7 linked regions of the Oryctolagus cuniculus genome follow. The protein of the gene in region 1 interacts with the protein of each later gene in a pairwise test. Links are inferred from orthologs where the notes say so. Each region holds a gene or a part of one and is shown in the gene's direction. Other genes may lie near its edges.

Region 1 (4,448 bases):
TCTTAACCACTGTGCCACGGACAAGCATTTGAAAGAAGACAGGGCCTGTGGGTGGACTGGATGTGGGGTGAAGAAAGGGAGCCTTGGTGTGGTCCAGGAAGAAAGCACTCTGCTCCAGCTTCCCTGGACTGACCCCCTTGGGGCCAGGGCACGGGGCCTCCTGAGCCCACTTCTCCAACCCACTCTAGCAGCACTGCTGATTGGCAGCTTGCCAGCGGGAGCTGACTGACAGCTCAGTCCCCTCCTCCATGGGCCCATCTGTCCTGTCTCCATCTCCTGCAGAGCCACCCCCTCCCCTGCTCTGGGGGCCGTGGCGGAGGGGGGCAGCAGGGTCTGTCCTGGGATGGGCTTCTCCCATCAGGACGTCCTGACTGGTCCCTGAGGGCCAGGGGCCCCTCCCTCTCTGTCTGTCACCCTGGCTCTTCAGGCTAATGAGACCTGCCCTGATTCCCCAGCTGGCCTTAATCTCTCCCAGCAGGGGGCATGGAAGAAGGGGGGGTGGAGATAGGGCTCCTTATGGTGAGGTACAGTGGCCGCCAGAGGAGGGATTCCTGTGTGTGTGCTCATGTGTGCCTGCATGCATGCCTGAGTGTCTTTGTATGTGGGTTTGTGTTTGCCTGTGTGTGTTCCATGTGGGTTTGTGTTTGCGTGTGTGTGTGTGTTTCTATGCCTGTTTGGAGGTCTGGGGAAAGTAGAGCAGACCCACGTGGGGACAAGAGCCCAGGGAGATGTTAACATCCAGAGACAGAGAGTGAGACAGTGCAGAGGGAGACCAGGCAAGGAACCCGGGAGGGAGCGAGTCAGCAAGAGGCCCCCCCCCAACCCCAGGGAGGACACAGAGGGAGGGGCCTGGGGAGTGAGGGAGGCAGAGGCAGGGAGGAAGAGAGGGGCAGGTTCAGGGTTGGATGTGGGGGACACAGGTCTGCCCGGCCGAGGGCAGAGGGGCTGAGACCAGGCTGGAGCCCCAGGCAGAGGGGGACAGGCAGGGATCCAGCAAAATGAGGGCGGGTCCTTGAGGCCGAGGGAGAGACAGCTGGGGAGGGGAGGGAGGGCGGCGGAGGGTGTGTGTGGGGAGAGACAGACAGACAGACACACACACACATACCAGCATAGAGAGTGCCCGAGCACTCGAGCAAGTGGGTCCTGGAAGTGGGCCCATAAAGACAGAGGAGGGTGGGGGGAGAGCGAGGGGTGCACGGGCCAATCAGCACACAAGGCACAGCCTGGGGCCCGAAGGAAGAGACACTGAGGCACAGAGGCCCCACACAAATCGAGCGAGAACGGGAGCGTGGGCGGGAGAGCGAGGACGCGGAGGTCAGGGACCAGCGTGAGGCCAAGGCAAGGAAAGCATAAGAGGGAAACTGAGGCAGAAAGCAGAGGACAGTGTGGCAATGGGGAGATGGGCGGCTGGGGAGGCACGGGGGCACCCAGGAGTGGGTGCTGAGAGCCCTGGGCCCCTCCTCCTCCCCACAATCTCTCAGGAGCGCCCTGTGTTTCTGTCCATCTTTGCTGCGTCCCTCTGTGACAAAGCTAAAGCCGGACGGGCACCAGTCAGACCCAAGCAAGGACTTCCCGAGGGGTGGAGGCTCTGGTCACAGGCAGGTGCAGGACTGTCCCCCCACATCTCCATTAGCCCTAATTGCCAAGATGTCGGGGGAGGGGCGAGGGGACTTAGGCAGATGGGTGCCCCTCCCCCTCCTAGCCAATGTCACCTCCCGGTGCCCAGTGGGTGCCCCAGCTCGGCGGCAGGGATTACCCCCCCGGGATCCAGGCCACAGCGTGTGACATCACTCCCGGCTCCGGGGCTTAAAATCACCCGGCGGGTGGGGACCTGTTTCCTTCTGCCTCTGCAGCCTGGGTGACTCCTGTGCCGTGTGCGGGACCTGGGCCACCAGGGCAGCCAGGTCGGTCCCTGCCTTCGGAAGGTGAGCGAGTGCAGGAGAGGCAGAGGGCACTGCGGCGGGGGCCGGGGTTGGGGCCGGGGCCGAGTTCCCCTTGTTCCCGGCTGGCTGGGTCTGTGGGGTGGCGGACTGGGCAGGTACACAGCAGAGGGCGGGGACTGGCCCTGGGCACACGCAGGGGCCCTGGATGGAGGGTGCAGGGGTGAGGGCTTCTGGCCGTCCTTCCCAGACAGCCCCTCTGCACCCCTGCGGGGTGTTCCTGAGAAGTCTCACTGCTGCCTGGAACTTTCTTCTCTGGGCATCTGCCTCTCCCACTCTCTCTCTCTCTCTGACCCCTGATTTCTTCCCAGTGCCTGCTGTGTGGTGGGGGATTTGCCAGGGTGTGAATGGATGGACAGGGAAAGACAGAAAGGAAGCGACGCGTGCACGCGGGGCCGGGCTCTCGGGCTCTGCTAAGTGGGGACCCTGGGGGGACTGCCCGAGGGGCCGGGATGCTTTGGGAGCCATGAGGCTGGTGACCTCATTACTTGGGGACCTTGCCACGCCTAACGGCTCCGGCCGTGCCACATCCCCTCCGAGGTTCCAGCTCCTGGTCTCTCCTGCTCCCTGGGGACCCAGGACAGAGGAGCCCTCGGGGGCTGCAGAGATCGTATGGGGGGGCACACAGCCGAGCTGGGGCCCCTTGCCAAGGGTGGGCATGGAGCCCTTTGGGTGTGGCCTCCCTGGGCTCCGGTCTCCTCCTTTGCAAGGTGGGGCTGGTGACGGAGGAGCTGAGGGAGGCTGGGGTCACAGGCCAGGGGAGGGGCGGGGTGGCCTCATCCTGCTTCCTGGGACCCCAGGTAGGTTTGGGGGACAACGATGGGTCCTGAGAGACTTGGGTTCTCTCTCTGCTTCTGCCACTTACCACCCATGTGGCCTTGGGACCCCTGGGCTCTGGGGGACTGGGGGAGAGCAAGGTGGGTATAGGCTCAGGGGGCGCTGGCCCAGCTGCTGGCCTGTGTGTGTCATGGGACCAGCCTCAATTTGCCCCTCTGTATACTGGGGCTGATGCCAGGAGCAGCCTCGTAGGCAGTTCCTCCCCCAGGTTCTTGTCCCCCGATGTCTTGTTCCCAAGGCCGTGCTGCAGGGACTGAATAGCTGGGAACGCTGGGACGTCCTTATTGTTATCCAATGCCTGGACTAGGGTGGGCATCCTCCTCCCCAGCAGGCTCAGAGACCCCTCCATGCAGAATGGGGTCACTGCAGGCCTGCCCAGGAGGTGGGGGTGAGCGCTCAGGTGGACGCGGGGCCCCTGGCCGGTGCTGCCGTCCCTCCCACCAGCCCTGGGGCCTTGAAATGCAGCGGGGCAGGGGGCGCTGTCAGGACCATGGTCAGTTCCCAGACACAGCCGGAATCAGCCGCTTGAGATCCTGGCTGACAATTCCTGGGGTGCTCGTGTTGCCGCCCACTCCTCTCAGGAGGTTCCAGGGAGGCCCTTCCGAGTTCATTTCTTGCTTGTCATTTGTTGTCACATCCCGTCTTCGTGGCTTCATCCACGCCTAGCGAACAGATCAACCCTGGGTTCCCACATGCTGCTGCTTGGCCCTGGGCACGCGCCTTCCTCCCCTGGGATCCTGCCTGTAGGATGGGCTTGTCCTCATGGGAAGTCCAGGCTTTTGGGGACACCAGCAGGGTCCTCCTGCCCCACTGCGGGGTCCTCCCGAGTCTCCCTCTTCCCATGCTCTCTTGGGGTTCATAGCAAACACTTCTCCTCTGCAAAGTGGGAGACAGCAGAGGGGAGGCGGATGGAGGGGCTGAGAAGGCAGGGGTGGAATCCGGGGTCCCCAGAGGGCCTCGCTGGGCCTGAGCACAACTTTTGGAGTGCGATGGGGTCCCTGCCTCCCAGGGCTGTGTGACAAGGTACTTCCTGCTTGGAGGTCAGGGGGAGGCTGGAATGCCAGTTTCCTGGGGCTGTTTGAATTGCTACGAAAGGTAACAAAGTGTTGCAAGCTTGCAAGGCGGTGGGCAGCAGGCATAGATCTCCCACTTGGCTGCTTGAGCCTCCTCCTAAGGCGGCAGCCAGCTCCGCTTTCCCTGGGGGCTGCCCTCTGCCAGGTCCCCAGCATTCTTGGTTAGGTACTGCAGCCCCTGCCGACCCACAGGGGTCCCCGCAGGGTGTGGCCATCAGGGTGGACTGCTCTCTGCTGCTGGTTTGTTTCTATGCGTTTCTACCCCAGGACGCCCCCGCAGCTCCTCCTAGATCTTTCCTCTCTGCCCTGTGATTGGTTCTGGTCACACTGGACCAAGTGATTCCAGCTTCCGGGCCGTTGCACCTGCTGTCCCTACTGCTGGGATCCTCTCCGTCCAGGACTGACCCAGTTGGGGGTTTCATCTTTGTCCCCCAACACTGGGACCGTCGCATCACCCCATTTTATTTTCTCCCCAGTTCATGAAACTCTGAGAGCATCCAGTTTGTTTTTTTTTTTTTTTTTTTTTTTTTGACAGGCAGAGTGGACAGTGAGAGAGAGAGAAAGAGAGAAAGGTCTTCCTTTTGCCGTTGGTTCACCC
Region 2 (4,372 bases), on another chromosome or scaffold:
CCAGGGTTGGAAACTGTGGGCAGCAAGACAAGAGCTCAGGGAGCAAATTCTGGAAGCGCAGCGCTTTTAGTCGCTTCAGTTGCGGGCGCGTAGGTGAGGCGACCGCATAGGTGAAGACAGCTTGGTCCTAGCCCTGGGAACCACATCGTCCTCGCCAGGGGTCCTCCAGGCCCCCGGGGCCTCACAAGGCTGTGATGGAATAAGTGAGATTTCGTCGTGAGATTGCCACAATATCGATAAGTATGTATTTTTAAACAGTTGTGTTTAGAGAGCGTTGGCAACGTCGGCCCCGCAGTTACGAAAGCTGCAGCTTGAAGGATGTCCAGGCAGCAGAGAGATCCGCAGGTTCTTGGCGACTCAGGCGCCTGGCCCGCCCAGCTCAGCTCCTGGCCCTGGCCAGCTAACTCCGGCGCATCTCGCCCGCCTCCTTCGGGGTCCCCATCCGGACTCCCTTCCCGCCGGCCAGGTCCCCCTGCAGCCCTTGGTGGCCTGGGCGCGCCAAGGCTCGTCAGCACACGGAACGCCCAGTGACCCCTCGAAAGTCCAGAGGCTCCGGGACACGCACAACACCAACCGCAAGAGCTCCAAACCCGGACCAGGGTTCCCGCGCTGCCCCGGAATTCAGGGCTGGCTCCCGGAGGACTTAGCTGGAAAAGCTCCACACCAAAGTCCTAGATCTAAGCCCCTCTCCGAAACACGGAGCCTGGGCGAGTTTCAAAGTAAACTGGTTTGCAACTTAAATGAGACGTTTCCACCCCACCCCCGTCCCAGCGCCTTAGCGTCAGGTTCCCTTGGCTTCCCGGCTCGGCTCAACGTTGATGTCTCGGTTCCTGGCTCTGTCGGAGAGGGGGTGACTTTACAGAGGGGGGCGAGGAAAGGCGGAGCGGCTGCACCTGAGCGATTATAAACGTGCGGGATGCTGGGGTCGGGCGAGTGCCTTCAGCACCGCAGCCGGGGACAGGGCTCTGCCTGGCTCCCGAGCTACAGCGCGCAGCTTCTGGATTTTTATCTCTCTCTCTCTCTCTCTCTCTCTCTCTCTCTCTCTCTCTCTCTCTCTCTCTCTCTCTCACACACACACACACACACACACACACACACACACACACACACACACCTTTCCTTTTAAAGAGAGAAAAGCCGCCGTGCGCCCCTCTCCTCTCTTCTCTTTCAGGATCCCGCGCGGAGAGCGCGGGCGAAGCGCACCGATGCCGGTGGACGCCGGGCAGAACGCGGACCCTGTGTGCTCCCATGGGATGAAGCTCACCTGGGACATCAATGATCCGCACATGCCCAAGGTGAGAGCGGCACGCGTGGCGCGGTCCATCCAGAGAAGGGGAAATGGCAGAGACCCTGTGAGCAGACCCCCCCCCCCCCATTTCTGAGCGCCCTCACACGCAGAGGGAATTTCTGTATTCTCTACAAAAGATAGATCTGGGTTTGGGGCTGTGTCTTCTCCCCGCGATTTCCTTGTGCGCTTGTCTCAAAACACAGCGAAGGCAGCAGGAAAAGGCCATCAGGAGACAGTAGACTCCCTCACTTTCCTTTACCCAAGAGAGAAATCAAATGCCTCTCTGCTCCTCCACTTATTTGAAATCCAGTAGAAATTGAGGGAAGAATCTCAACAATGTAAATACCACTGCTTCTCTCGCATTCAAACTGTGAAAGAAGGCTGTAAATGGAGGCGACTTGAATCTGAAACAATTTATTCAGCCATTCTCTACTGCCTGGATGAAGGAAACTCCACAGTTACACTCATGGGGCCATCAGCATAGTCATTCTTTTAGGGTGAATTTTTTGTTTTAATGGGTGGGAATAGAGAGAATGAACTGGGAACTGAGCAGTACCCTTGGTGATGCTGGTTCAAGTCAAAAAGTCCTGGTTGCAGGTGAGGGGACCATGGGAGTTGCTTCCCCACACATTTGTGAAGGTAGACCTGCAGCAACATGGTGGCACAGGGTCAAGAGACATAGCATTTATTTATCTTCTATTATGTGCCAGATGGGTGTTCAGAAGAACAGCATTTCATTGGAATGCAACATGTCTTTGGACGTGCACTTTGTAGTTTGTTTCAAAGTCTACCTACTTCAGTGCTGCACTGTGCATCTGTGCACAAGTGGACCACAGTCCACACGTGTGTCTCGTTCTTGCTGACTTCTGTCCACATAAATCCTCATGGAAAACATTCTGAACTTGTATTTTAGGTGAGAGTCACCTCCAAATATGCAACAATGGCTCATCTCTCAAGGATTTTCTTTTGCTTGGGAGATGGGTTCTTCAGTAGGGAATGTGTGTAACATCTCAAATGCAACAGACTCATTGGAATAGTGAAAGAAAATAGAGGAAACGTAGCAAGCTAGCACTGCTCTGCCTAACCAAAGGAGAAGCTAAACAGGCTCCCTGACCTTGAGAGAGTCCTTGAGTTTGCCTTAGTCTCAGAGATGGACCTGTCATCAGGTGGAGGAACTAGATAACCATCTCAGCTCTGCCTTGGCCCTACAGTCCTGTTCTCTTTGTGTGTATCTCTACACATACAAGCATGTCAGAGCGAATGAAACCCAATCCTGCAATCCTTTGCTGATGTTTTGATTTTCAAATAACCTCCTCTGTGTCTTCACCTGCCGTGTCCCTGGCCCCGTAGCTGGGTGAACTCTGGGGCTCAGTCTGTACCGTCAGGGGGGGTTCAGTCTGTACCGTCAGGACAGAACTCAGGGTATACTCTCAGTGGCTGGTTTATTACTAAGATGCTAAAGTTGAATGTTCAGAGATACTCGCGTTTAATAAAAACATGGAGTTAGCAGCATGAATACATCACTTGGGACTTAACCTTAAATCAGTATATTAATTTATGCTAAGCTGGCAGTCTAGAGGAAAGCTGTCTTTGCTTCTCTGATGTTCTGCAGACATTGCTGATTATGTTAAAGTCCATTTGGTTTGGCATAGGGCATCAAGAGCTTTTGGGAAAAAAAACACACTGGGCTGTAATACAGATTTTTCCAAGGATAAAGTTCATCCCCATGATAGAGAATTGCAGTCCCTTTTTTACCCTGGCACTTTCACACTCCACTTGAAAATCGCATTTAAACAAACCAAGAACTGGTAAGAAACATAGGCTGTGGAGTCCAAGTGCCGGGGTACAAATCCTAGAGCTGGGTCTTGTGAGCTGTGTGACCTTGGCCACGCCAACTGACCCCTCTGATGTCCATGTTCTAGTGGGTAAAATGGGCAGAGTAGTACTTCCTGCCTGCACATGTGGTAAAGGCTAGATGAATTAATACAGTGTAGCGTTTAGGAGACAGGCAGTGTATACTCACCAGTGACTAGCCATTTGTCCCAAAGGCCAGGAAGAGCAGCATTTTGTGGTGGTATGGTTTGGTGTTTTGCAACATTTTTTGGATTGAACAATAACCTGTTCTTCTTCTAATGGGCTTGGAGAAAAGGGCGGTGCGTGTGCTTGGAGCCCGGCCGAGTTCAGCACCTGTCTTCACAGGAGCCAGCCCACTTCGACCACTTCCGCGAGTGGCCCGACGGCTACGTGCGCTTCATCTACAGCAGCGACGAGAAGAAGGCGCAGCGCCACCAGAGCGGCTGGGCCATGCGCAACACCAACAACCACAACGGCCACATCCTCAAGAAGTCGTGCCTGGGCGTGGTGGTGTGCGCGCACGGCTGCGTCCTGCCCGACGGCTCCCGGCTGCAGCTGCGACCGGCCATCTGCGACAAGGCGCGGCTGAAACAGCAGAGTGAGGGCGCGGCGGGGCGGGGCGGCCTGGGAGTCGTGGGTCCTCTCCCCCATCTTCCCGCAGAGCCCAGGGTCTAATCTCTCTCCCTCCGGGGTTTGCAGAGAAGGCGTGCCCCAACTGTCATTCGCCTTTGGAGCTGATTCCTTGTCGAGGGCACAGCGGGTACCCTGTAACCAATTTCTGGCGGCTTGACGGCAGCGCCATATTTTTTCAGGTAGGTGAGGTGAGACTATAATTCGTGATGGGCATGGAGTGTAGCTCCGGTGGCCAGAAATGGGTGTTGGATCTCCCCAGGGACCTGCTAGGCAGTAGTTAATAAGCTGTGTGTTTCTTTAGGGCTGTGGTGGACCAAGGTATAGTTATAGCTCATTTAATAGGTTGAAGGGAGTGCAGGTAATCTTTAAAAATGTCTACTATTGATGCCATTTTATTCGAGAATTCTTTTTCCTATCATTTAGGAAAAAGACAACTTGGGATCTTGGGAAGGCATGATTAACTCAGGCCCACATGGCTAGCTTCAAGGGGTAGGGGAGCCTTTTTTATAACATCATTCATGGTCATACAAAAGTCAACTTAAAAATTAGCTGGCTGTAGATTTATTGAATTGCAGCTCCCCCTGCGGTTGCCTTGTC
Region 3 (3,901 bases), on another chromosome or scaffold:
TCTGGCGCCCTGACTGGGACTAGAACGTGGTGTGCTGGTGCCGCTAGGTGGAGGATTAGCCTAGTGAGCCGCGGCGCTGGCGCCTTTTTTTTTTTTTTTTTTTTTAGGTTTTATTTATTTGAGAGGGAGAGACAGAGAGTCATCCAGTATTTCTTTGTCTTTTTTTTTTTTTCTTTTAAGATTTATTTATTTATTTGAGAGGCAGAGTTACAGAGAGGTCTTCATCTGCTGGTTGAATCCCCAAATGGCCGCAAAGGCTAGAGCTGTGCCAATCCAAAGCCACCCATGGGTACAGTGGCCCAGGTAGTTAGGCCATCTTCTACAGCTTTCTTAGGCCATCAGCAGAGAGCTGGATAAGAATTAGAGCCGCCAAGACTTGGACCATTGCACATATGGGATGCTGGTGCCACAGGCGAGTGCTTGCCCTGCTAAGCCACGGTGCTGGCCCAAGCCCCTGTATTTCTTTTTTTACTCTCTGGATTGGATATGTGTCAGTGTTATGTTGTAGAATTTTGCATATTATTTTGGGAATTATGGCTTCCTCAGAAGCTTGGGTATGGTAGCCCTTCCTCAGATTACACAGGGACTCCACCTGAAATCTTTTTCCCCTGGGAGGGCTGGTTTCTCTATGTTGCCTGTCTCACTCATTGGTAAATCTTGTCGCTACAGGTACAGGTGCAGGTACAGCAGTCTCCGCAGCAGGTCCTGGCTCAGCAACTCTCCCCACAGCTCACCGTTCATCAGCCTGCCGAGCAGCCCGTCCAGGTCCAGGTGCAGATCCAGGGCCAGGCACCGCAGTCAGCAGCCCCCTCCATCCAGACCCCGTCTCTGCAGAGCCCCAGTCCCTCGCAGCTGCAAGCGGCCCAGATCCAGGTGCAGCACGTGCAGGCGGCCCAGCAGATCCAGGCTGCAGAAATCCCGGAAGAGCACATCCCACATCAGCAAATCCAGGCTCAGCTGGTGGCTGGCCAGTCTCTTGCTGGGGGTCAGCAGATCCAAATCCAGACTGTGGGTGCCCTTTCCCCACCATCATCCCAGCAGGGCTCACCCCGGGAAGGGGAGCGGCGGGTTGGCACGGCCAGTGTCCTCCAGCCAGTGAAGAAGCGCAAAGTGGACATGCCCATCACTGTGTCCTACGCCATCTCAGGGCAGCCGGTGGCCACCGTGCTGGCCATTCCACAGGGCCAGCAGCAGAGTTATGTGTCTTTGAGGCCAGACTTACTGACAGTAGACAGTGCCCACTTGTACAGTGCTACTGGGACCATTACTAGCCCTACAGGAGAAACCTGGACCATCCCTGTTTATTCTGCCCAGCCCCGGGGGGACCCTCAACAACAGAGCATTACCCACATTGCCATTCCCCAAGAAGCCTACAACGCAGTTCACGTCAGTGGCTCACCCACGGCCCTGGCAGCTGTAAAGCTGGAGGATGACAAGGAGAAGATGGTGGGCACCACGTCTGTAGTGAAAAACTCCCATGAAGAGGTAGTGCAGACCCTTGCAAACTCTCTCTTTCCAGCACAGTTCATGAATGGCAACATCCACATTCCAGTGGCTGTGCAGGCTGTGGCAGGCACGTACCAGAATACGGCTCAGACTGTCCATATATGGGACCCACAGCAGCAACCACAACAGCAAACTCCCCAGGAACAGACTCCGCCACCGCAACAGCAGCAGCAGCAGCTCCAGGTTACTTGTTCAGTAAGTGAGACTTTACCTGTAGGGCTGCCTGCTCCCTCAGGGCCCAGAACAGCAGAGAGTTTGCATGGCAACCTCTGCCTTGTTTACTGCCATGATGTTAATCTTACAGTGAAACACTACTCAGTATTTGGGAGAAGTAGCAAATGAGGTAGTATAATTGGTAAGAATTTGATCCTGGAAGTAAATGAAATGACCAGTAACTGCTTTGAGGCTTTGGGGTTAAGTGCCTCAGGTACTGTGTAATCTTGTCTTAAGAGTAAACTTACAGGTGGGCACCCTGAATGTTAGTGGTGTCCTAGAATCTACTCTCTTGCATCATATGTGAATGACTTACGGAGCACACAAACTGTAAATTCACTACAGTAGAAGGGCTGAGGTCGTTCCTTCTCTACTTGTCGTCTTTGGAATCAATTTAGGTGAATTAGAAGACCTAATGTACTTACTAGTGGGTGTGTTACAAGTGACCACCTTCAGGAGTGTTGCGTAAGGTACCTATGCACAGAGACCTTCCAGAATGTTTCTGTCATCTTTGAACATAAGTTAACCCTTGATTGTGGGGCTTTTTGACATGGCAGCTATGCTGACAAACCTTTTTTGACATTTATTTTGGAATGATTTTAGTTTTATAGAAAAGTTGTTAGGATTGTGTTGGCTTTTTTTTTAAATTTATTTGAAAGGCAGAGCTACAGAGACAGATCTTCCATCCACTGGTTCACTTACCACCTGGCCCCAACAGCTGGGTCTGGGTCAGGCAGAAACCAGGAGACAGGAATGCTGCTCTAGTCTTCCATGTGGGTGGCAGTGGTCCAAGCACTTGGGCCCACATTCACCGCCCTCACAGACGCATTAGCAGGAAGCTAGATTTTAAGCAAAATATCCAGGATTAGAACTTGCAGTTTTGATACAGGATGCTGGTGTGGCTTATCTTTACTGCATCATGACACCAGCCCCTCTTTTTTTTTTTTTTTTTTTTTTTTTTTTTTTTAGGATTTATTTGAAAGGCAGAGTGATAAGGAGGGAGGGACTGAAAGACATACCTTTTATCTGCTAGTTCATTCCTCAAATCCCACTACAGCCAAGGACTAGGAGTCAGGAATTCTATCCTTATATCCCATGTGGGTGGTAAAGACCTAAATACTTGGGCCATCACTTGCTACTTTCCAGACACTATAACAGGAAGCTGAATGAGAAGCATGGAGTAGGGGTTGGCGCTCTGGAATAGTAGGTTAAGCCTCTGCCTGCGGTGCTGGCATCCCATATGGGCACCAGTTCTAGTCCTGGCTACTCCTCCTCTGATCCAGCTCTCTGCTATGGCCTGGGAAAGCAGTAGAGGATGGCCCAAGTGCTTGGGTCCCTTCACCCACATGGGAGACCTGGAAGAAGCTCCTGTCTTTGGATTGGCTCAGTCCAGACTTTGCAGCCATTTGGGAAGTGAACTGGTGGATGGAAGACCTTTCTATCTCCCTCTCTCTGTAACTCTACTTCTCAAAGAAATAAAGTAATAACAAAAAGCATGGAGTAGGGGCTGTGTAGTAGCATAGTGGGTTAAGCTGCCGCCTGCAACACCAGCATCTTTTTTTTTTTTTTTTTTTTTTTGACAGGCAGAGTGGACAGTGAGAGAGAGAGAGACAGAGAGAAAGGTCTTCCTTTGCCGTTGGTTCACCCTCCAATGGCCGCCGCGGCCGGCGCGATGCGGCCGGCGCACCGCGCTGATCCGATGGCAGGAGCCAGGAGCCAGGTGCTTCTCCTGGTCTCCCATGGGGTGCAGGGCCCAAGCACCTGGGCCATCCTCCACTGCACTCCCGGGCCACAGCAGAGGGCTGGCCTGGAAGAGGGGCAACCGGGACAGAATCCGGCGCCCCGACCGGGACTAGAACCCGGTGTGCCGGCGCCGCTAGGCGGAGGATTAGCCTGGTGAGCCGCGGCGCCGGCCAACACCAGCATCTTATACGGGCACTGGTTCGAGTCCTGGCTGCTGTTTCTGATTCAGCTCTCTGCTAGTGCTCCTGGGAAAGCAGCCAATGATGCTGAAGCACTTGGGCCACTGCGCCCATGTGGATGACCTGGAAGAAGTGTTTTGGCTCCTGGCTATGACCTGTCCCAGCCCCCACTGTTGAAGCTATTTTGGGAGTGAACCAGCACATGGAAGGTCTCTCTCTCTCTCTGCCTTTCAAATAAAAGTAAATCTTAAAAAAAAAAA
Region 4 (3,901 bases), on another chromosome or scaffold:
GACTGGTGACAGCGTTCACCCTCTCATCCATGCCACCTTGCCTTGCACTATCCGTTCTTCTGCCTAGCGTCTCTCTCACCCCACCACTTTGCTTCATCAGCTTTCCCTGATAGAGCTGCAACGGCCTCTCCCTGGGTTCCCTGACTTCAGTCTGTTCACCCTCAGTCATCCATCCTCCCATTGGTCCGTCCATCCAACCAACCAACCAACCAACCAACACAGTTTGAGGACTTCCTCTGTGCTACATACTCCCCTAGACCCTAGAAAGAGAATAGTAGACCCTCTTCTCCTAGGTCTGCCTGATTAACTCCATTCATCCTTGCAGCTCAAGTGTCAGTGACTTGGGGAGAGCTCGCTAGCTCCTCCTCATAGCATATTGCAGCCCAGCACTGGGGAGGGTCAGGTTCTGTAGCCGCTGAGCTGACAAGAGCATGACATGAGAAATCACCTCCCAGCGGCTGGGTGCTATCCACAGTTTGGGCTCTGTGCTGGTCACGGGCCCTCAGAAGTTCCGAGTTCTCAAACCCACCAACTAGAACTCAGTGTTAGCAAATTCCCCTCACTGCCCATCAGTCCTGAGCTGGTGGCCCAGGGGTGATAACTGAGCTTCTCTCTCTCATCACTGGGCTCTAACCTCTGCTTCATGCCCATTTCTGTTAGTTGAGTCCCTGCTTGGATCACCTGCTCAGCCCAGCACTGAAGGATAGTCTCGGATGGTGAGACTCAATGCCACTATCTGAAGTCAAGGCCAGCCTGCACCAGGGCATGGCCCACCTTGGCTGGAACTCCACTGGGTCTGTGATTGGGCTTCCTGGACTCAGGGGTCTTCTCCTCCTGCACTGGGGCTGGCTCACCCACATGGACCTGGCACATCTGGGTCTCAGGTCTTCCCCTTAAACTGGAGATCACCGTATCTTACTCTGAGAGCTGCTGGGAAGGTTCAGTGAGATTCTGCGTGTGAGTGCTTAGTACCGAGTCTAAACTCTCGGGATGTCAGCCGTGGTCACCATTGTTAATAATAGCACTGTTCCACTCATGCCATTTATTTATTTGAAGGACAGAGTTACAGAGAGGCAGAGAGAGAGAGAGAGAGAGAGAGAGAGAGAGAGAGAGAGAGTCTTCCATCTGCTAGTTCACTCCCCAAATGGCCATGATGGCCAGAGCTGAACCAATCTGAAGCCAGCAGCCTGGAGCTTCTTCAGGTATCCCATGTGGGTGCAGGGGCCCAAGCACTTGGGCCATCCTCCACTGCCTTCCCAGGCCACAGCAGAGAGCTGGATCAGAAGTAGAGCAGCCAGGACTCCAACCAGCACCCATATGGGATGCAGGCACTGCGGGTGATGGCTTTACCTGCTATACCACAGCACCAGCACCCCCTCATGCCTTTTTATTCCCAGCCAAGTATTGAGGCTCTGCAATCTGTGATGTCCGTCTGGTCATCCAGGTATCATTCGTCACAACTAGCAAGCATCAACTTTTATATATCAGCTAATCAGACTAATTTTCATGTCTGCCTGTATCCCACCATGCCCTAGATTTACTCTGCCAATTTTTGGTATATAAAAAGGTTAGAACCTGATAGCACCCTTCTGTCAGGGTGAGTGAGGGAGCATCTGACTACTAGGCTATGCCCACTCTGCCTCCCTGGACCTGAGCCCACTTGGCGTTCTCCTCCCACCTTGGCTGGGCAGTGGGTTTCTTTGCCTTGTCTCCTCTGTCTGCTTGTGTTCTTGGTGCACCTTGTCATTACTTGGGGCTCCCTGGACTGTTCATCATGCAGTGAGTGCTCATCAGGTGCAAATCCTCTTACGCATTTTCTGGGCGATTGAACAAGTGGGACAACTAAGGTCTGTTAGTTGTCAGTGACTGGAGCCCTTGAGTGGGGTCAGGGAGAAGGGTTGGACCTCTACGTGGGGCTTTCCTAATTGGGTGTATTAATTATCTATTGTTGCCTAACAGACTGCCCCACCATATAGCTTAACTGGGTGGCTCTGGTTTGGCCCCTCTCATGAGACTGCAGTCAAGGTGTTTGCTGGGGCTGAAGTCTCATCTGAAGGCTTGATAGGAGCTGGAGGACTCCCTTCCAAGGCGGCACACACCCACACAGCTGACGCGCTGGTGCAGGCCATAGACACGGGCCTCTGTTTCTTGCCTCCTTGGTATCTCTCCTTGGGGCTGCTTGAGGGTCCTCACACCATGGTCACTGCCTCCTGCTGGATTGGTCCAGGATGGCAGGAGGTAGAGAGAGATGCCTTCTATTCCCTACCCTCAGAGATGACATACTGCCACTTTGTAATGTCCCATTCGTTAGAAGTCAGACCCGCATTTGAGGGGAGAGCAATCGGGCTCCATCTTTGAAAGGAAGTATTTGCACATGTGCTTTAAAACCACCAAAGTGTGGCCGGCGCTGCAGCTCACTTGGCTAATCCTCCGCCTGTGGCGCCGCACCCCAGGTTCTAGTCCCGGTTGGGGCGCCAGATTCTGTCCCGGTTGCTCCTCTTCCAGTCCAGCTCTCTCTTGTGGCCCGGGAAGTCAGTGGAGGATGGCCCCCAAGTGCTTGGGCACTGCCCCCACATGGGAGACCAGGAGGAAGCACCTGGCTCCTGGCTTCAGATCAGCACAGTGCGCCAGCCATAGCAGCCATTTGGGGGTGAACTAATGGAAGGAAGACCTTTCTCTCTCTTTCTCTCTCTCTCACTGTCTAGCTCTGCCTGTCAAAAAAAAAAAAAAATCAAATGTAAAACCACCAAAGTGGATCTCTGAGACCCCTTCTGCAGGGCCTGGTACACAGTAAGAGCTCAATAAATGCTGTTGCTTTAGCTACATGGGCTCTAAAATCAGCCACAGGGGAGAAGAGCTCAGCTCTCTGCTTCCTCCTCTAGATCCATATTTCAGACTTAATCCTCAGTTATGTGGCTGGTATTTCTACCTCATTGTATTCTATTCTGCCAGCCCCAAGGAAGCTCTAGGATCTGGGTGGAAATCCACTTCCAAATGTGGGGCCAGCCCTCTAGGGAGTGCTCCTTCTTCCCTCTCTTCCAGCTGCACATCGCTGGAGCCAACGGATACCTGCGGGCAGCTGAGCTCCTCCTGGACCATGGAGTGCGTGTGGATGTGAAGGACTGGGATGGCTGGGAGCCCCTGCACGCAGCTGCCTTCTGGGGACAGGTAGTCCCTGCCGACAGGGCCGTGGGGGAGGCCAGCACAGGGTTCCCACCCACAGGGCTGGGGAATGGGGAGGCCAGCACAGGGTCAATCTGCTGTCGCTAAGTCCTTTGAGTTCACAGTCGGTTCAAAAGAACATAAGGCCCAGAGAGTTTGCAAAAGCATTAGACAGTCTGCGTCCCTGTAGGATGAGACTTGAATTTGCCAAGTTAGAAAGTTCCCCGCATTTCTGTTCTGAGCAGTTTCTCTATTTGTTTCCCAAATATGATTACACTTTATGCAGTTCCTCCCCAGATACTTGACGGCCGTACAGTCACAGCCAGCTCCTTCTTCTCTCCCACCTTGGCATGGCCCAAGAATGCTAGAGGAGTTGCCAAGTGCATGGTACCCTTTAGGATTTCCTCCATATCTCCAGCCTTCAAGGCCTTTCTCAGCAATCAACTTTGCCCCACCATTTCTGGGTCTTGTCCTGAGACACTTTGGATACTCCACACCCTGGGCTTTCTTCGCCCTGGGCAGGGAGACTGTGGGTGTCTTCCTGTGTTTCAGATGCAGATGGCAGAGCTGTTGGTGTCCCATGGGGCTAGTCTCAGTGCTAGGACATCCATGGATGAGATGCCAATAGGTAAGTCCAGCACAACACCAGCACACATGTAGGCATTCTTCAAGTTTTTGGTGGGTGGAGTGATAAATGGATAAATATATGGTTGGATAGACTGATGGATTGGTGTGTAGA
Region 5 (4,643 bases), on another chromosome or scaffold:
TTCTAGGTAGTCTTATGCATATTAATTTACTTAATATCCATTTCTTAAACCTACCTTTCCAGGCATATTTCTCTCTTCTGACACATACATCCAACTTCCTATTGCTTTCTTGTAGTCATTACAGTCTGTCACCTTCAGAGATTGATTCTTCAAGGAATTACATCATACTCCTCGTTGCCTGGCACAGTCCTCATATTTCAATAAATGCTACTCCAGATGAATGGAATAATGTATAGAAGGTATAAAAATAAATCTCTTGGCCAGCACCGCGGCTCAATAGGCTAATCCTCCACCTTGCGGCGCCGGCACACCGGGTTCTAGTCCCAGTCGGGGCGCCAGATTCTGTCCCGGTTGCCCCTCTTCCAGGCCAGCTCTCTGCTGTGGCCCGGGAGTGCAGTGGAGGATGGCCCAAGTCATTGGGCCCTGCACCTGCACGGGAGACCAGAAGCACCTGGCTCCTGGTGCGCTGGCAGCAGCGGCCATTGGAGAGTGAACCAATGGTAAAGGAAGACCTTTCTCTCTCTCTCTCTCTCTCTCTCTCTCTCACTGTCCACTCTGCCTATCTAAAAAAAAAAAAAAATCTCTTATAGCTAGAAGCAATAGGTGGTATAGTTTGAAGCTCAAGTTAGGCTAGCATTCAGTTTGAGTTTGAAGTAGATGGGTTTAGTTATAATGGACCTGGTAACCAAAAAGAAAACATAAGCAGTTTTTCAGCCAAATAATATGATGAAAATATTTTTACAAGTATAATTGTAAAGGATAATCAGTGTAAAGAATAATCTGGAAATTAGAGAAAGGAAGACTAATTTGGACTATGTGGGGGGAAAAAAGAGCAGTTGAAAAGTTACCCTCTCCGTTGGTACAAAGGAATTCTGTTGGACATCAGATTACAGTGTTTAAAAAGGAACATTTGGGACAGTTAGCCTACCAGTTAAGACACCTGCTCCTTATACCGCAATAGCTGGGTTTGATATTTGGCTCCAGATCCTGACTCCGGCTTCCTGCTAGCGCAGACCTTGGGCAGCAGTGTGATGATGGCTCCAAGTATCTGGGCTCCTGCTACCCACATGGGAAGCATAGATTGAACTCCTGGTTCTCAGCTTTTGCCCAGCCCGGCCATAGCCATTGTGGGTATTTGAGGAGTGAACCAGCAAAAGAGAACTCTGCGTGTCTCTAACTCTCAAATTTAAAACACCGTTTGGTTAAATAGCTCCATTTTTATCCTGAGGAGCAGTTGAAGGCAGCAAAATGGCTTAGTGGGACTAGCACACAGGCGACTTTTCCTACTGAAACATCTAAAGGGTCCTAAATCACTCATAGCAGCACTGCTCTAGTCCACCTGCAACCTGCAACTCCGCCAGCGCAGAAGGGGACAAAGAATAAATAAAGAGGGGAACGGAAGAAACAGCTTGTCCGGCTCTGGTGTGCCGCTCAATGTTATCTTTCCTCTCCTGTGGGCTAACTCAGATGAGAATTTCTATGCAGCCAGATAGACTTAAATACCCCGACCAAGCGGCTGATACGAATACGACGTTCTGATCCCCCTCTAGAGCTTGTCAAAGGGACTATGGGAATCAATTAACCTCAAGTAAATGAGAATGAGTAGAGGCGAACCAACCCTCTTGGAACGCAGGAGTTTTTAAAGAACTGGGAGTGGGCTAAACGCCAAGTTCTGCAACGGTAGGGATCATCGTGTACCCACTGCACCCCGACCCTAGCACAGGGCCTGGCACATAGTGCGCTAACCACAAACGTCTACTGAGTGAAAGGGCGGCAGGCTGAATGCGTGAATGAGTGATGCAGGAGAAAGTTAAGACCAAGAACACCACCATTCGGTAATGGTGAATGTCTTGTGAGGAGTGCAGGGTAGCTGAGGAAGGAGCGTCAGATTGAGTGCAAAATTTGCAACAGAGATGTGAGACTCTACTCAGGGGCTTACGCAGGACTGTTGGCAGGGCGTCTGCGGACTTGGGAGTCCCGGCGCTGAGGCGCAGCCCGACCTGAGCTCTGAGGCGGCCGTCAGCCCCGCGGCGCCAGCCGAGAGCAGCCCTGCCCCGCCGCGGAGGGCCTGAGGGGGGCGTCTTCGGCCGCGCCGGTGCTCGCCGAGAGCCAGGAGGACCAGGTAATGGGCTCTCTGCCCTCTCGGAGCTGGGCTCCTCCGCGTTTCCTCACGCCTCCGGGCGGGGAGGGAGCGCAGCCGGAGCGAGCGGCCGGCAGCGCCTCGCAGGCTGGGCGCGGGCCGAGCGAGCTTCCGACCTCCCCGGGCAGGTGACGGTGGCGCAGGTCGGGGCCCCGCGGGACAGACGCCCTGAGGCTCAAGCCCCGGACGCTTGGGTCGGGTCAGCCCTCCGCACACGTTCCTGAGAGCCAGGAGCTGGGCCGCCTCCCCCGTCGCACCCCGCGCCTGAGGGCGCCCTCGCAAACTCCGGGCACGGTGGGCGCGAGGCCGGGGCCCAAGAGACAGAGCGGGGCGGGGGGCGGGGGTGCCCAGTAAAATAATTTCATCTCCTTTGAAGTCAGAGGAAACCAGTGAACCCGGAAAGTTGAAGTAAATGTTTTAATTTTTTCTCATATAAGGAAAAAAAATGAAAATTTTAGAACCCACAAACGTGTATTAATTTATTATAATGTTTTTAATGCAAGGAGGGGCCCGCGAAGGCGAACTACGAAATGTTTAAGGGACTTGCCAGCGGCGGGACTCATTTATTGCAGGCCGAGGCACCCTCGGTCTGTAAGCGCTAGTCCTTGCTCCTCCTCCTTGTTAACGAGGACGCCTAATGGGGCCCGAATTTGCGCCTCGGGGACCCTGAGGGCCAGTAGGGAAAAGAACGTCCAACAGAGGGAGTCACAGCAAGAGCTTGTTTGGGGTGCGCTTGTCAGGGAATGGCCTGACCCCAGGGACGGAGAGTTGGACACAGGCCAAACTCGGGGGCCAGGGTAGGAGTTTGGATTTTGTTCCAGGTGTAATTGGAAGTCATTGGTCTTTGGTGGTTCAGGGCTGTTCCAGGTTTAACCAGTTTACAAGGGGCTACCGTTAAGCAGGGGGGTGAGTAAAAACGGAGAGTCAGTGCTAAAGCTGGTTCCTGTTTAAGTGGCAGACCCACACATGCGATGCATGAACTGACCAGGTGTGGGGAGCTAGGGAAGAGGGTGGCTGCTCACCGCTTTTAGAGGACAGTATTCCAGTTGACATTGGCTTGGGATTTGAAAATGCAAGCTAAAACTGTTCTGAGATCTTAACAATCAGTGGTGAAAATTGTAGTTGTTCTGTGACTCCTAAAAATTATTGCCAGAACACCAAGAGCTCTCTTATTAAGCTGGTTTTTAACTTTTTTTTTTTTTTTTTTGACAGGCAGTTAGACAGTGAGAGAGAGACAGAGAGAAAGGTCTTTTTTTTTTTTTTTATTTGTTTGTTTGCAAGAGTCACAGAGAGAAGTAGAGACAGAAAGAGAGGTCTTCCATCTGCTGGTTCACTCCCCAAATGACTGCAACAACTGGAGCTGTACCAATCTGAGATCTGAAGCCAGGAGCCAAGAGCTTATTTCTGGTCTCCCATGTAGATGCAGGGGCCCAAGGATTTAGGCTATCCTCTGTTTTCCCAGGCGCATTAGCAAGGAGCTGGATCAGAAGTGGACCAACCAGGAGTCGAACCAGCATTACACAGGGGATGCTGGCATTGCAGGCCAGGGCTTTAACTCACTGTGCCACAGCACTGGCTTTATTGTTTTAAGTATACAGGAAAATGTAAAACAGTAAGACTAATATGTATTTCTGCTACTGTATTTAAAACATTAGAAATACTGGCGTTTGAAGCGTTTTACTTCTAGAACTACGTTGTTGTTTTTTTTTTTTTTAAGATTTTATTTATTTCTTTGAGAGGTAGAATTAGAGAGAGAGGGAGAGACAGACCTTCCATCAGCTGGTTCACTCCCCAAATGGCCACAACAGATGGAACTGGGCCAGGATAAGCCAGCAGCCAGGAGTTCTTCTGGGTCTCCTATGTGGGTGCAGGGCCCAAGTATTTGGGCCATCTTCTGATGCTTTCCCAGGTGCATTAGCAGGGGAACTGAATCAGAAGTGCAGCAGCTGGAACTTGAACTGGCACCCATTTGGGATGCCAGCGCTGTAGGCAGTGTCTTAACCCCCTATGCCACAGTGTCGCCCACCAAGATATAACTTATGATAGAGCAAGCATATTTTCCATGCCTAGGAAATGTTATACTACTTTCCAAGTTTGGACCAGTTTCCAAAATTTTATGCTTTGTGCTTTCAATTTTGTGAACTATCTCCAAGAGCTTTTTTTTTTAAATAATAAAGTGTTTTTTGCAAATGACATTTTTTCTGGAACATCTTCATCCTTGTTGTCACAACTGTTTTTCTCATTTATGTTGTTTATGTTTGCCTTTACTGATTCCCTCTAATTGCATAGTAAGCATCTATCGAATGGTGGCAGTGTCAGCATGCTCAGTCAGCTGTTGCTTCTATGACTCCATTTATGTTCTACTCAGATTTTACTTTCCGCATTATCACTTTTTCTTTGCCTCACTTCCATTTTTGTTGGCCAATTCCCTCTTTGGATTATTGATTTTCTAGAAAAATGTCCTTTTTTGTCCTTTTTTTTTAAAGATTTATATGTTTATTTG
Region 6 (3,901 bases), on another chromosome or scaffold:
TTAACTTTGCATAGGCCCACTCCCTATCATTCGTTATCAAACTCAGTTTAAGCTTGGCTAAAGCAAAGTACTTGGAGAGTAAATAATTCTTTAGTTGAATATTATATAGTGGTCTCTCCTATCTTAGAACTAGCTTTGTAGGAAAGGGGATTTGGAGTTGAAAGACCTTTACACTGACAGGTGCTATAGCTTTGTCTCATGATCTTTGTCTCAGTTCACTTTTCTGTAAACCTACCTCACTGTTTTGAGGATTCATTATGGGTTTTTTTTTTTTTTTTGATAAATTGTATAAAGTAGTAGCTAGAATGAGTTTTATAGTTTATTGAACATTTTCTTTTTATATTTATTGTAAAGATAATATGAAAAGCATTAAAATATTTACAAGATAGAAGGGAAGTATCTATCATTCAGTCTCCTTAATATAAGAATATATTTTGTTTTGGGCAATTTCTTTTCCTCTCTTTTTGTTCATTATGCTTATATATGTATTTTTGTATAAATTTGCAAATCCTTGCACTAAACCACTGAGAGCCAAATGGAGCTTTATAGCATGTGTAGGTTTTTTCCCTTTGTTAAAAATGAGTATAGTCATGTTCAAGATTAATAATGATACCAGAAGATATACTTAAAATTTTACTATTTCCCTTTTAGTTATCCAAGCATTAGGTGAGCATCTTAAATTAAGACAACAAGTTATTGCCACTGCTACGGTCTATTTCAAGAGATTCTATGCCAGGTAGGACTGTTTTATTTTGGGAATATACTAGATGTCTTAAAAACTCTTATTTAATGTTGATGAATCGTGTGTGCGGTAGAGTTAACTTGATATTTTTTCTTTAGTGTGTTTTTCAATGAGTGACACTTAACTTTGTTTTATGATATTTTTAGGTATTCTCTGAAAAGTATAGATCCTGTATTAATGGCTCCTACATGTGTGTTTTTGGCATCCAAAGTAGAGGTATAAAACAATTTTCTGATTTTCATCAATATTGGTTAATCTGCCCCAGTTGTCACATTACTTATTTAAAGATAGTAGTAGATGATAATTTAAGCAAAATACAAAAATGACACAAAAATCAAAGAAATACATACATAAATTTGTGTATTTATTTTTTAAGGGCTTATATGGCTCTTAACAGAGTACCAAGTGCTTTTGTAAATCTTTTTACAAGTATTAACTGACTTAATCCTCATAAAAAATGGAATATGTGATAGTAGAGTTCCTACTTTATAAATGAAGGAACTGAGGCACAAAGAGATTAAGAACTTGCCTGTATTTGTACAACTGGTAAGTCGCAGAGCTAGTATTTTGAACTGTGAGAGTCTAGTTCCTACTCCTATTTTCTTATTTTTTTTTTCTGCAGCCTTTAAGATTTTTAATTGTTTTGTACAAGTAGAATTCAATAAATGCCCTAGCTTGTTTCCTATAACCTAAGAGTGTCTCTCCTTCGCATATGCTTATTGCTACTGTCTTCCCTCCTTTCCTTGTGGTGATTGGCTGCCTACCAAGCCATCAGGAAAACAAAGGAATGGCAATGATTAGGAGAGGCTACAGCTATACAGATTCTATCAAATAAAAATCAGATGAAATAGAAAATTCAGGTGAGGGAGAGAAGAAACATAGGCACTTAGAGCTGAGACTGAATTTTTGCTTACCCTATTTATCTTTTCTGCAAAAATCCAGACAGTAGTAGCAGATATCAACTGTTTTTTTAATCCATTCAGGTTTTTTTTTTTTTTTTAAGATTTTTATATATTTATTTGAAAGAGTAACCAGAGAGAGAGAGGTCTTCCATCCGCTGGTTCACTCTTCAGATAGCCACAATGGGCGGAGCTGCACTGATCTGAAGCCATGAACCAAGAGCTTCTTCTGGGCCTCCCATGTGGGTGCAGGGGCCCAAGGACTTGGGCCATCTTCTGCTGCTTTCCTAGGCCATAGCAGAGAACTGGATAGGAAGTGGAGCAGCTGGATCTTGAACCGACGTCCATATGGGATGCTGGCACTGCAGGCGGCAGCTTTACCCACTATGCCACAGTTCCAGCCCCCAATTCATCAGTCTTCAGTATTACAAAGCCTTTGTACTGTGTTTCTGTTTTTAGATATCTTTATAATAGTAATGATATTCTTGAATATTATGGTTTTTTTTTAAGATTTATTATTTGAAAGGCAGTGACAAGGTGAGAGAGCGGGGCCATCCAACTGATGGTTTAGTCCCTAAGTGGCTGAAAAGATCTAGGTTGGGTCAGACCTAAGTCAGGAGCCAGGAATTCCATCTGGGTCTCCCACATGGATGGCAGGGACTCAAGCACTTGGGCCATCTTCCACTGCTTTCCCAGTCACATTAGCAGGTAATTAGATTGGAAGTGGAACAGCCAGTATACAAACTGGCATTCCAATGTGGGATGCCAGTGTTGCAGGTGGTAGCTTAACTTGCCACAACGCCAACCCATCTGAATATTATTTTAGCCTATTGTTATTTTTTTTTTTGGTACTCATTTTGATTTAGCTTTGTTTTAGCTATTGTTTAGGATTATCACTGACATTTCTCCCAACTATTATCTCAAGAATGAGAATTGACCCTATTAGAAAGAATACTAAGGAAAACGTTTTAGTGATTTAATATTTTTCAATTTTAGAGGTAGTTTAAGGAGGCAGAACTGACTTTGTTAAGTTCTTTTTTTTTTTAAAGATTTATTTATTTATTTGAGAGGCAGAATTATAGACAGTTATACCATGCCTTGGTTTGCTCTCCAAATGGCTGCAATAGCAAGAGCTGGGCCAATCTGAAGCCAGGAACCAGGAACTTCCTCTAGGTCTCCCACCTGGGTGCAGGGGCCCTGGTGCTTGGACTGTCTTCCACTGCTTTCCCAGGCCATCAGCAGGGAGCTGGATTGGAAGTGCAACAGCTGGGACTTGAACCAGCACCCATATGGGATGCAGGGATGCAGGCAGAGGCTTAATTTACTATGCCACAGTGCTGGCCCCTGTTAAGTTCTTTAATGGAAAAGAAAATGTTTATAAAACAATTTTAATATGGGTCTATTTTTTACAAATATTGCCATGTAACGGCTATTTTTATATATCAAGCACAACCAGTATTTGATACCAATTTGTTGATACCAACAAAACCTTATTAAACATCTATAAGCTTTATAGATTAATTTAGATATTTTGTTGTTTTTTTCATTATTGAATTTTTTTGAGAGATTTATCTTACTTATTTATTTGAAAGACAGAGTCACGGAGAGAGGTAGAGACAGAGAGGTCTTGCATCTGCTGGTTCATTCCCCAGATAGCCTCAATGGCTGGAGCTGAGCCAATCCGAAGGCAGGAGCCCGAAGCCAGGAGTTTCTTCTGGATCTCCCATGTGGGTGCAGGGGCCCAAGGACTTGGGCCATCTTCTACTGCTTTCCCAGGCCATAGCAGATAGCTGGATCAGAAGAGGAACAACCGGGACTAGAACTGACGCCCATATGAGATGCTGGCGCTTCAGGCCTGGGCTTTAACCTGCTGCGCCACAGCACAAGCCCCTTTTATTTAATTTTTTTTAAAGATTTATCTTATTTGAAAGGCAGAGTTACAAGGGAAGAGGGGCAGACAGAGACAGAGAGATCTTCCATCTGCTGGTTTATTTCCCAGATGGCTATAGTGGCCACAACTATGAGTCAGTCTAAAGACAGGAGACAGGAGCTTCATCTGGGTCTTCCACATAGGTGCAGAGACCCAAGGACTTGGGCCATCTTCTGCTTTCCCAGGTGTATTAGCAGGGAGCTGGATCGGAAGTGGAGCAGCCAGGACTTGAACTAACATCAATCTGGGCTGCTGCCATTGCAGACATGAGCTCAACCCATTATACCACAACACTAACCCTGCATGATTTAATTTACTTGGTAGAACTCT
Region 7 (4,700 bases), on another chromosome or scaffold:
TCACATCCGAATCAGATGTGGTTATTTGTCCTATCTGTCTATTAGGGAATGAAACTCCAAAGGACAAATGATATTTTTCATGATTTTCTGAACCACACATTTTACTTTGAGGGGAAATCCCAGAATGGATTTAAACTAGTGTTGAAAAGACATCTGAGTGTTTATCAATTCGCTCAACTCACTGTATGATCACGATCACATTTATTAGCTGTTTACCACTGCACGTTTGGCAAGCTGCTGTTACGGACAAGAATGCATCCCGTAAGTCAAAGGGCACGTGCATAGGGATACTCAGTCTTTGGGATTTGTAGCTTCAAGCTGGTCTGTGGGCATGTGACTCAAGTCATCGTTCTGCTGGCTGAGAGGTCGCAATTCAGGGGGATTAGGATTGGATTTAAGTTCATGCCTGTGAATACACACCGAACAATTAGGCCACGGGGCTTGGATCCCACTACAACTTGCTGTAGGCGCAATGTAAATGAAAAGTGACCTTGTGTGTCTCTGCACCTTGTGTGTCTCAGTATTTTCTCGGTCAGCTTTTTGTTCATTCCCTTTTGGGGAATGAATCTATAACTATTATCAATACCATAACATAGCAGTTAAATCCTCTCTCTTCATTACTTGTGTGAATTCGGACAAGTAAACTTTTCTTTTCCAACCGTCTGCAAAGTAACTAAAAAGTTTTAAGTCTCTTCCAACATTAACAACCCAGAACCCTATATTCAAAACTATAAATATTTTCAATTGAGAGTTTTACACTCGCTGCTGTCAACTTCCAGGAAGTATAACCCATTACCTACAAGTGGGATCATTTCTTTTTGTTCTGTCTGTAAAGCTGCAGACCCAACTCGGGATGTAGGGAGAGAGTACCTGCCGTGGGCAAGGCATCTTTCCTTGGGGAATACAGACTTCCCCCAGCTGGAAGGGGGATACAGCCGGCACCCCAAGAACCCGCGAGCTAGGAAATGAGTTTTGAACTGGAAAGGCCGCGGCCACTTGGCACCAGAAAAAACTGGAGGGAGCTGCGGACTTTTGCGTTTGTGTCTAATGTAGACCGACGGTAGTCGAGTCACGAAGTCGTCAGACGGCACTTGTCGCGGGCCCGCCACCTCTGTAACCTGAGGCATACACCTAAGACGCCACCCTGCACCTGACGACCCGGACTCCGCGCAGGGCGAGGGCGCAGGTCCCCAGCCCGATGGGGCAGTGCGTCGGGGGAGCGCGGGCGGCGTGGGCCTCCGTCCCGCGAGGAGGGGGTCCACTCAGCACAGCAGCGCCCACCGAGCAGAGGCGAGGGAGGGGGCCGCTGCAGGCGGGGTCGTCGGCGGGGAGGCCAGCCCCGGGTGGGTGATAAAGGATCCTTCGGGCTTTGTTTAGTAACACGCCAGGCCCTGCTCTCCCGAGAAACCAATTAGATCCCCGCTGCGGGATCATCTGACCTGCGTCCCCCACCCGCAGGGGGCTCGGAAGGGGCGGGGCTAGGCGGGGCCGGGCCGGCGACTCCTCGGGAACGCGGCCGCGGGTGGTGCGGGGGAGTCCCGAGCGCTGGACCCGGACCTGGGCCCGCCCCTCGGCAGAGGCCCCGCCCCACGCAGGCCCCGCCCCCGGGGCTTCCCGGGCGCGCGCCGCCCCGCCGTGTCCGCGCGCCACGCCCCCCTGCTCGCGGGCCGCGTGCGGAGCCGCGCGCCCCGTAGGCTCTGGGACCGTGGCGGCGGGCGGCGGCGGCGGCGGCGGCGGCGGCGGAGCAGCCGTCCGCGGGCCATGTCTTCTCCGGCCGTGGCGAGGGGCTCTCCGGGAGGGAGTCGGGAGACGGCCCTCAGGCCCCGGAGCCGAGGCCGGTTTTGGGAAGTGGGCGGCGGCGGCGGCGGCGGCGGCGGCGGCGACCAGCTGGAGCGCGCGGCCGCGGAGTCGGAGCGCTGGGAGCTGCTGCTCCGCCGCGGCGAGCTGCTGGCGCTTGGCGGCCACCTGAAGGGAGCGCTGGAGGCGTACGCGGCGGCGCTGCGCCGGGGGGCCCCGGTCAGGCCCGAGTGCCTCGGCACCCTGGTGGACTGCCTGGTGTTCAACTACCGGCTCCGCCACGGGCTGGGCTGGAGCGCGGCCCCGGCTGCCGGCGCGGGTGCGGGCGGGCTGCTCAGCTGCCTGGGCTGCCGCGGCTTCCTCAGCGAGCCGGTGACGGTGCCCTGTGGCCATAGCTACTGCCGCCGCTGCCTGCGGAGAGAGCTCCGCGTCCGCTGCCGCCTCTGCCGGGACCGGCTGCCGCCCGCCGCCGTCGCCAGTGCCGCGGGTGCTGAGGGGACCGGCCCGCGGCCGCCGCCTCTGGCCGCCGCCATCGCGGCCTCGGACTTCAGAACCAGCGTCGTCCTCAACCACCTGGCCGAGAAGTGGTTCCCGGGTCAGCGCGAGCGAGCCCGGGCGGCCGGCCGGCTCGGGGAGCTGCTGCTTCAGGGGCGCTACCGGGAGGCCCTGGCCGCCGCCTGCGAGGCGCTGCGAGCAGGTGACGGCGCGGGGATGCGGCGCGGGCCCGACCGACCCCACCCTCCTTTCCCGGGCGGGCCGGGTACCCAGAGCGGGTCTGCGCCCTGGGGCAGGCTCGCCCTGCTTCCCCGGGGGCCGCTGGGCACTCGGCGTGCGGGATCTCGGGGTGCTCGAGGGTGTGGGAGGGGGCGGCGCCCGGGGTGCTTCGGTCACAATGGGGATCGCCCTGGGAGCCCACTGTGACGCGGCGCGGGGAGGGGCGCGCGGGCGCGGGGTTCCCTCGGCCGCGGCCTGGCGCTCGGGCGCGCGCGCGTGCGGCGCGGAGCTGCGGGCCCCCGGGCCGGAGGCCGCCCTGGCGCGGGATGGGTGGGAGCTGGGGGAGCCCGAGCGGCCGCCCGCTTCCTGCCGCGCTCTTTCCGGGAATTGGCGGCTCGGGCCCGGCAGGGCCGGGCCACCCCGGGGGTGGGAGACGACATCGCGGCGGGGCGGGGATCCCCAGCCGAGGTTGGGCGGGCTAGGTCTACCTTCCCGACCCGCAAAAGTCACCGGGGCAATTGGAAGCCGCGGGAGGGCAGAATTGCATAAGCTGGGGTGGAGGGGCGTTGTGTAACGGGTGACGTCCGGTGGGCGTGGCGGGAGCTCGGCGCCCGCACCCAGTGCCGCGAGGCCCCTCCGGCCGCGGTGGTCAGCTCCTACCTGGAAGTGCCCGCGGAGTGGGTGCATCTTGAGGCGTCCACCTGCTCTTCTCAGGTCACGCCGGTTTCATTGTGCTGACTCCGGAATACGCCCAGCCCAGGGCAGGGATGCAGAGGTAGTCTCTAACCCAGAGTTACCGCCTCGCTTCCGTTCGCCTTTCCACTTAAGATCGAGCCCAGGGGGAAAGGCCGTGTAGGGCTTTTGTCTCTTCCTTTGTCTCCAGGACGCACCCTCGGCTTCCCAACTTCAGTTAGCACTTTTCCCAAGGCGGTTTTACATTGTGCCAGACGCGCCTGTAAAACTTCCGTTAGAAAAAATGAAGTTCTTGGATCAGTTCTTTTACTAGGGGGGGGGTTTCACTACCCCCTCCCCAAGGACATTATCCAGGGCAACATATCTGGCAGTGTCTAGGGACATTTTTGGTCCCCACCTCTTGTAGGCGTGATGCTGGTCCCGGCACTGTGGGCACTGTGCGGCTGACCTGCCACCGCCAAGAATGCAGGCCCCAGACGACCATCAGTGGCACTGTGGGCGACACTTGTATGAAGTGGATTGCAAGATTTTCATGTCGCTGTGTTGGCAGGAAATAATGCTTGGGGGAAATAATCCCCAAGGAAATAGACATGAAATATTAAACTGACTTTGGGTGTTAGGTAAGTTTAGACACTGTGGAACTGAAAATACCCTCCTGTGGGTGCTTAGTCATATTGAACCAGTGACAGTGTCTTGAGTTATTTAGAACCTTCAGAGTTCACAGCACAAACTTGCCATGTTTTTGAGGCCTTTTAGTGTGTCTGTGGAGGAGGCAGTTGTAAAATATGGTAATAGTCTCAGAACAAAAGGAAAATAATTGGGTATTAAATTCTGATACACCTGACTGCCTCTTGTGGGCAAATAAGCCAGAATTGGCTGGATAGAACACCTATCACAGACCATGTGAGAAAGCAAGGGCTGGAGCAGTGCAGTGACTTGCCCCAGTCACACAGCTGGCTGCTTGGAGAGGCAGCTGTGTGTCCCTTTCTAAAGTGGGCCTTGTGTTCATCTGGTCTTTATAGGTCATCCACTCAAGTGCTCATGCACATTTCCCAGGAGGGTTTTCTATCACTAGTATAAAATAGAGGATAAAACTCACCAACAGCACTATTCAGTATCTACGCCTGACATGGTGATATGACATTCTTTTAAATTAGGTTCTTTATAAGCTTTGAGGTCCTATTCCTTGGAAGAATAGTGAACACATTACAGATTTAAGTCTAGCTTCATGTTCTGTGACTAATATTTTTTTGAAAGTTTATTTTGTTTATTTGAAATGCAGAGTGATAGAGACAGAGTGAGCCCTTCCATCCTCTGGTTCACTCCCTAAATGCCCTCAGCAGCTGGGGGCTGAAGTCAGGAGCCAAGAACTCTATCTGGCTCTCCTATCTGAGTGGCAGAAACCCAAGTACTTGGGCCATCAAATGCTGCTTCCTGAGTGTGTAAGCAGGAAGCTGGATGGGAAGCAGAGGTGGGATTTCATCCCCAGCATGCAG

The links.
Region 2: the proteins of cone-rod homeobox protein (region 1) and GCM2 interact in binary tests that used the Homo sapiens proteins (3 or more experiments, as listed by UniProt). The link is inferred for Oryctolagus cuniculus from reciprocal best matches to the Homo sapiens genes CRX and GCM2.
Region 3: the proteins of cone-rod homeobox protein (region 1) and QRICH1 interact in binary tests that used the Homo sapiens proteins (3 or more experiments, as listed by UniProt). The two-hybrid records come from large-scale screens. The link is inferred for Oryctolagus cuniculus from reciprocal best matches to the Homo sapiens genes CRX and QRICH1.
Region 4: the proteins of cone-rod homeobox protein (region 1) and PPP1R16B interact in binary tests that used the Homo sapiens proteins (3 or more experiments, as listed by UniProt). The two-hybrid records come from large-scale screens. The link is inferred for Oryctolagus cuniculus from reciprocal best matches to the Homo sapiens genes CRX and PPP1R16B.
Region 5: the proteins of cone-rod homeobox protein (region 1) and M1AP interact in binary tests that used the Homo sapiens proteins (3 or more experiments, as listed by UniProt). The two-hybrid records come from large-scale screens. The link is inferred for Oryctolagus cuniculus from reciprocal best matches to the Homo sapiens genes CRX and M1AP.
Region 6: the proteins of cone-rod homeobox protein (region 1) and CCNC interact in binary tests that used the Homo sapiens proteins (3 or more experiments, as listed by UniProt). The two-hybrid records come from large-scale screens. The link is inferred for Oryctolagus cuniculus from reciprocal best matches to the Homo sapiens genes CRX and CCNC.
Region 7: the proteins of cone-rod homeobox protein (region 1) and LONRF1 interact in binary tests that used the Homo sapiens proteins (3 or more experiments, as listed by UniProt). The two-hybrid records come from large-scale screens. The link is inferred for Oryctolagus cuniculus from reciprocal best matches to the Homo sapiens genes CRX and LONRF1.

Annotation. Positions count from the first base shown.
Region 1 is NC_091449.1:9,969,663-9,974,110, reverse strand, and holds the start of cone-rod homeobox protein, read left to right. Parts: upstream 1-1,398; 5' UTR 1,399-1,598; intron 1,599-1,853; 5' UTR 1,854-1,925; intron 1,926-4,448. UniProt on the Homo sapiens protein: Transcription factor that binds and transactivates the sequence 5'-TAATC[CA]-3' which is found upstream of several photoreceptor-specific genes, including the opsin genes.
Region 2 is NC_091436.1:159,772,625-159,776,996, forward strand, and holds the start of GCM2 (chorion-specific transcription factor GCMb), read left to right. Parts: upstream 1-1,205; coding exon 1,206-1,295; intron 1,296-3,487; coding exon 3,488-3,740; intron 3,741-3,841; coding exon 3,842-3,954; intron 3,955-4,372. UniProt on the Homo sapiens protein: Transcription factor that binds specific sequences on gene promoters and activate their transcription. Through the regulation of gene transcription, may play a role in parathyroid gland development.
Region 3 is NC_091441.1:100,095,340-100,099,240, forward strand, and holds part of QRICH1 (transcriptional regulator QRICH1), read left to right. Parts: intron 1-669; coding exon 670-1,701; intron 1,702-3,901. UniProt on the Homo sapiens protein: Transcriptional regulator that acts as a mediator of the integrated stress response (ISR) through transcriptional control of protein homeostasis under conditions of ER stress.
Region 4 is NC_091442.1:19,948,861-19,952,761, reverse strand, and holds part of PPP1R16B (protein phosphatase 1 regulatory inhibitor subunit 16B), read left to right. Parts: intron 1-3,042; coding exon 3,043-3,168; intron 3,169-3,714; coding exon 3,715-3,790; intron 3,791-3,901. UniProt on the Homo sapiens protein: Regulator of protein phosphatase 1 (PP1) that acts as a positive regulator of pulmonary endothelial cell (EC) barrier function. Involved in the regulation of the PI3K/AKT signaling pathway, angiogenesis and endothelial cell proliferation.
Region 5 is NC_091433.1:128,320,280-128,324,922, forward strand, and holds the start of M1AP (meiosis 1 arrest protein), read left to right. Parts: upstream 1-1,757; 5' UTR 1,758-2,122; intron 2,123-4,643. UniProt on the Homo sapiens protein: Required for meiosis I progression during spermatogenesis.
Region 6 is NC_091436.1:72,164,546-72,168,446, forward strand, and holds part of CCNC (cyclin-C), read left to right. Parts: intron 1-651; coding exon 652-736; intron 737-888; coding exon 889-958; intron 959-3,901. UniProt on the Homo sapiens protein: Component of the Mediator complex, a coactivator involved in regulated gene transcription of nearly all RNA polymerase II-dependent genes.
Region 7 is NC_091433.1:77,988,988-77,993,687, forward strand, and holds the start of LONRF1 (LON peptidase N-terminal domain and RING finger protein 1), read left to right. Parts: upstream 1-1,654; 5' UTR 1,655-1,761; coding exon 1,762-2,494; intron 2,495-4,700.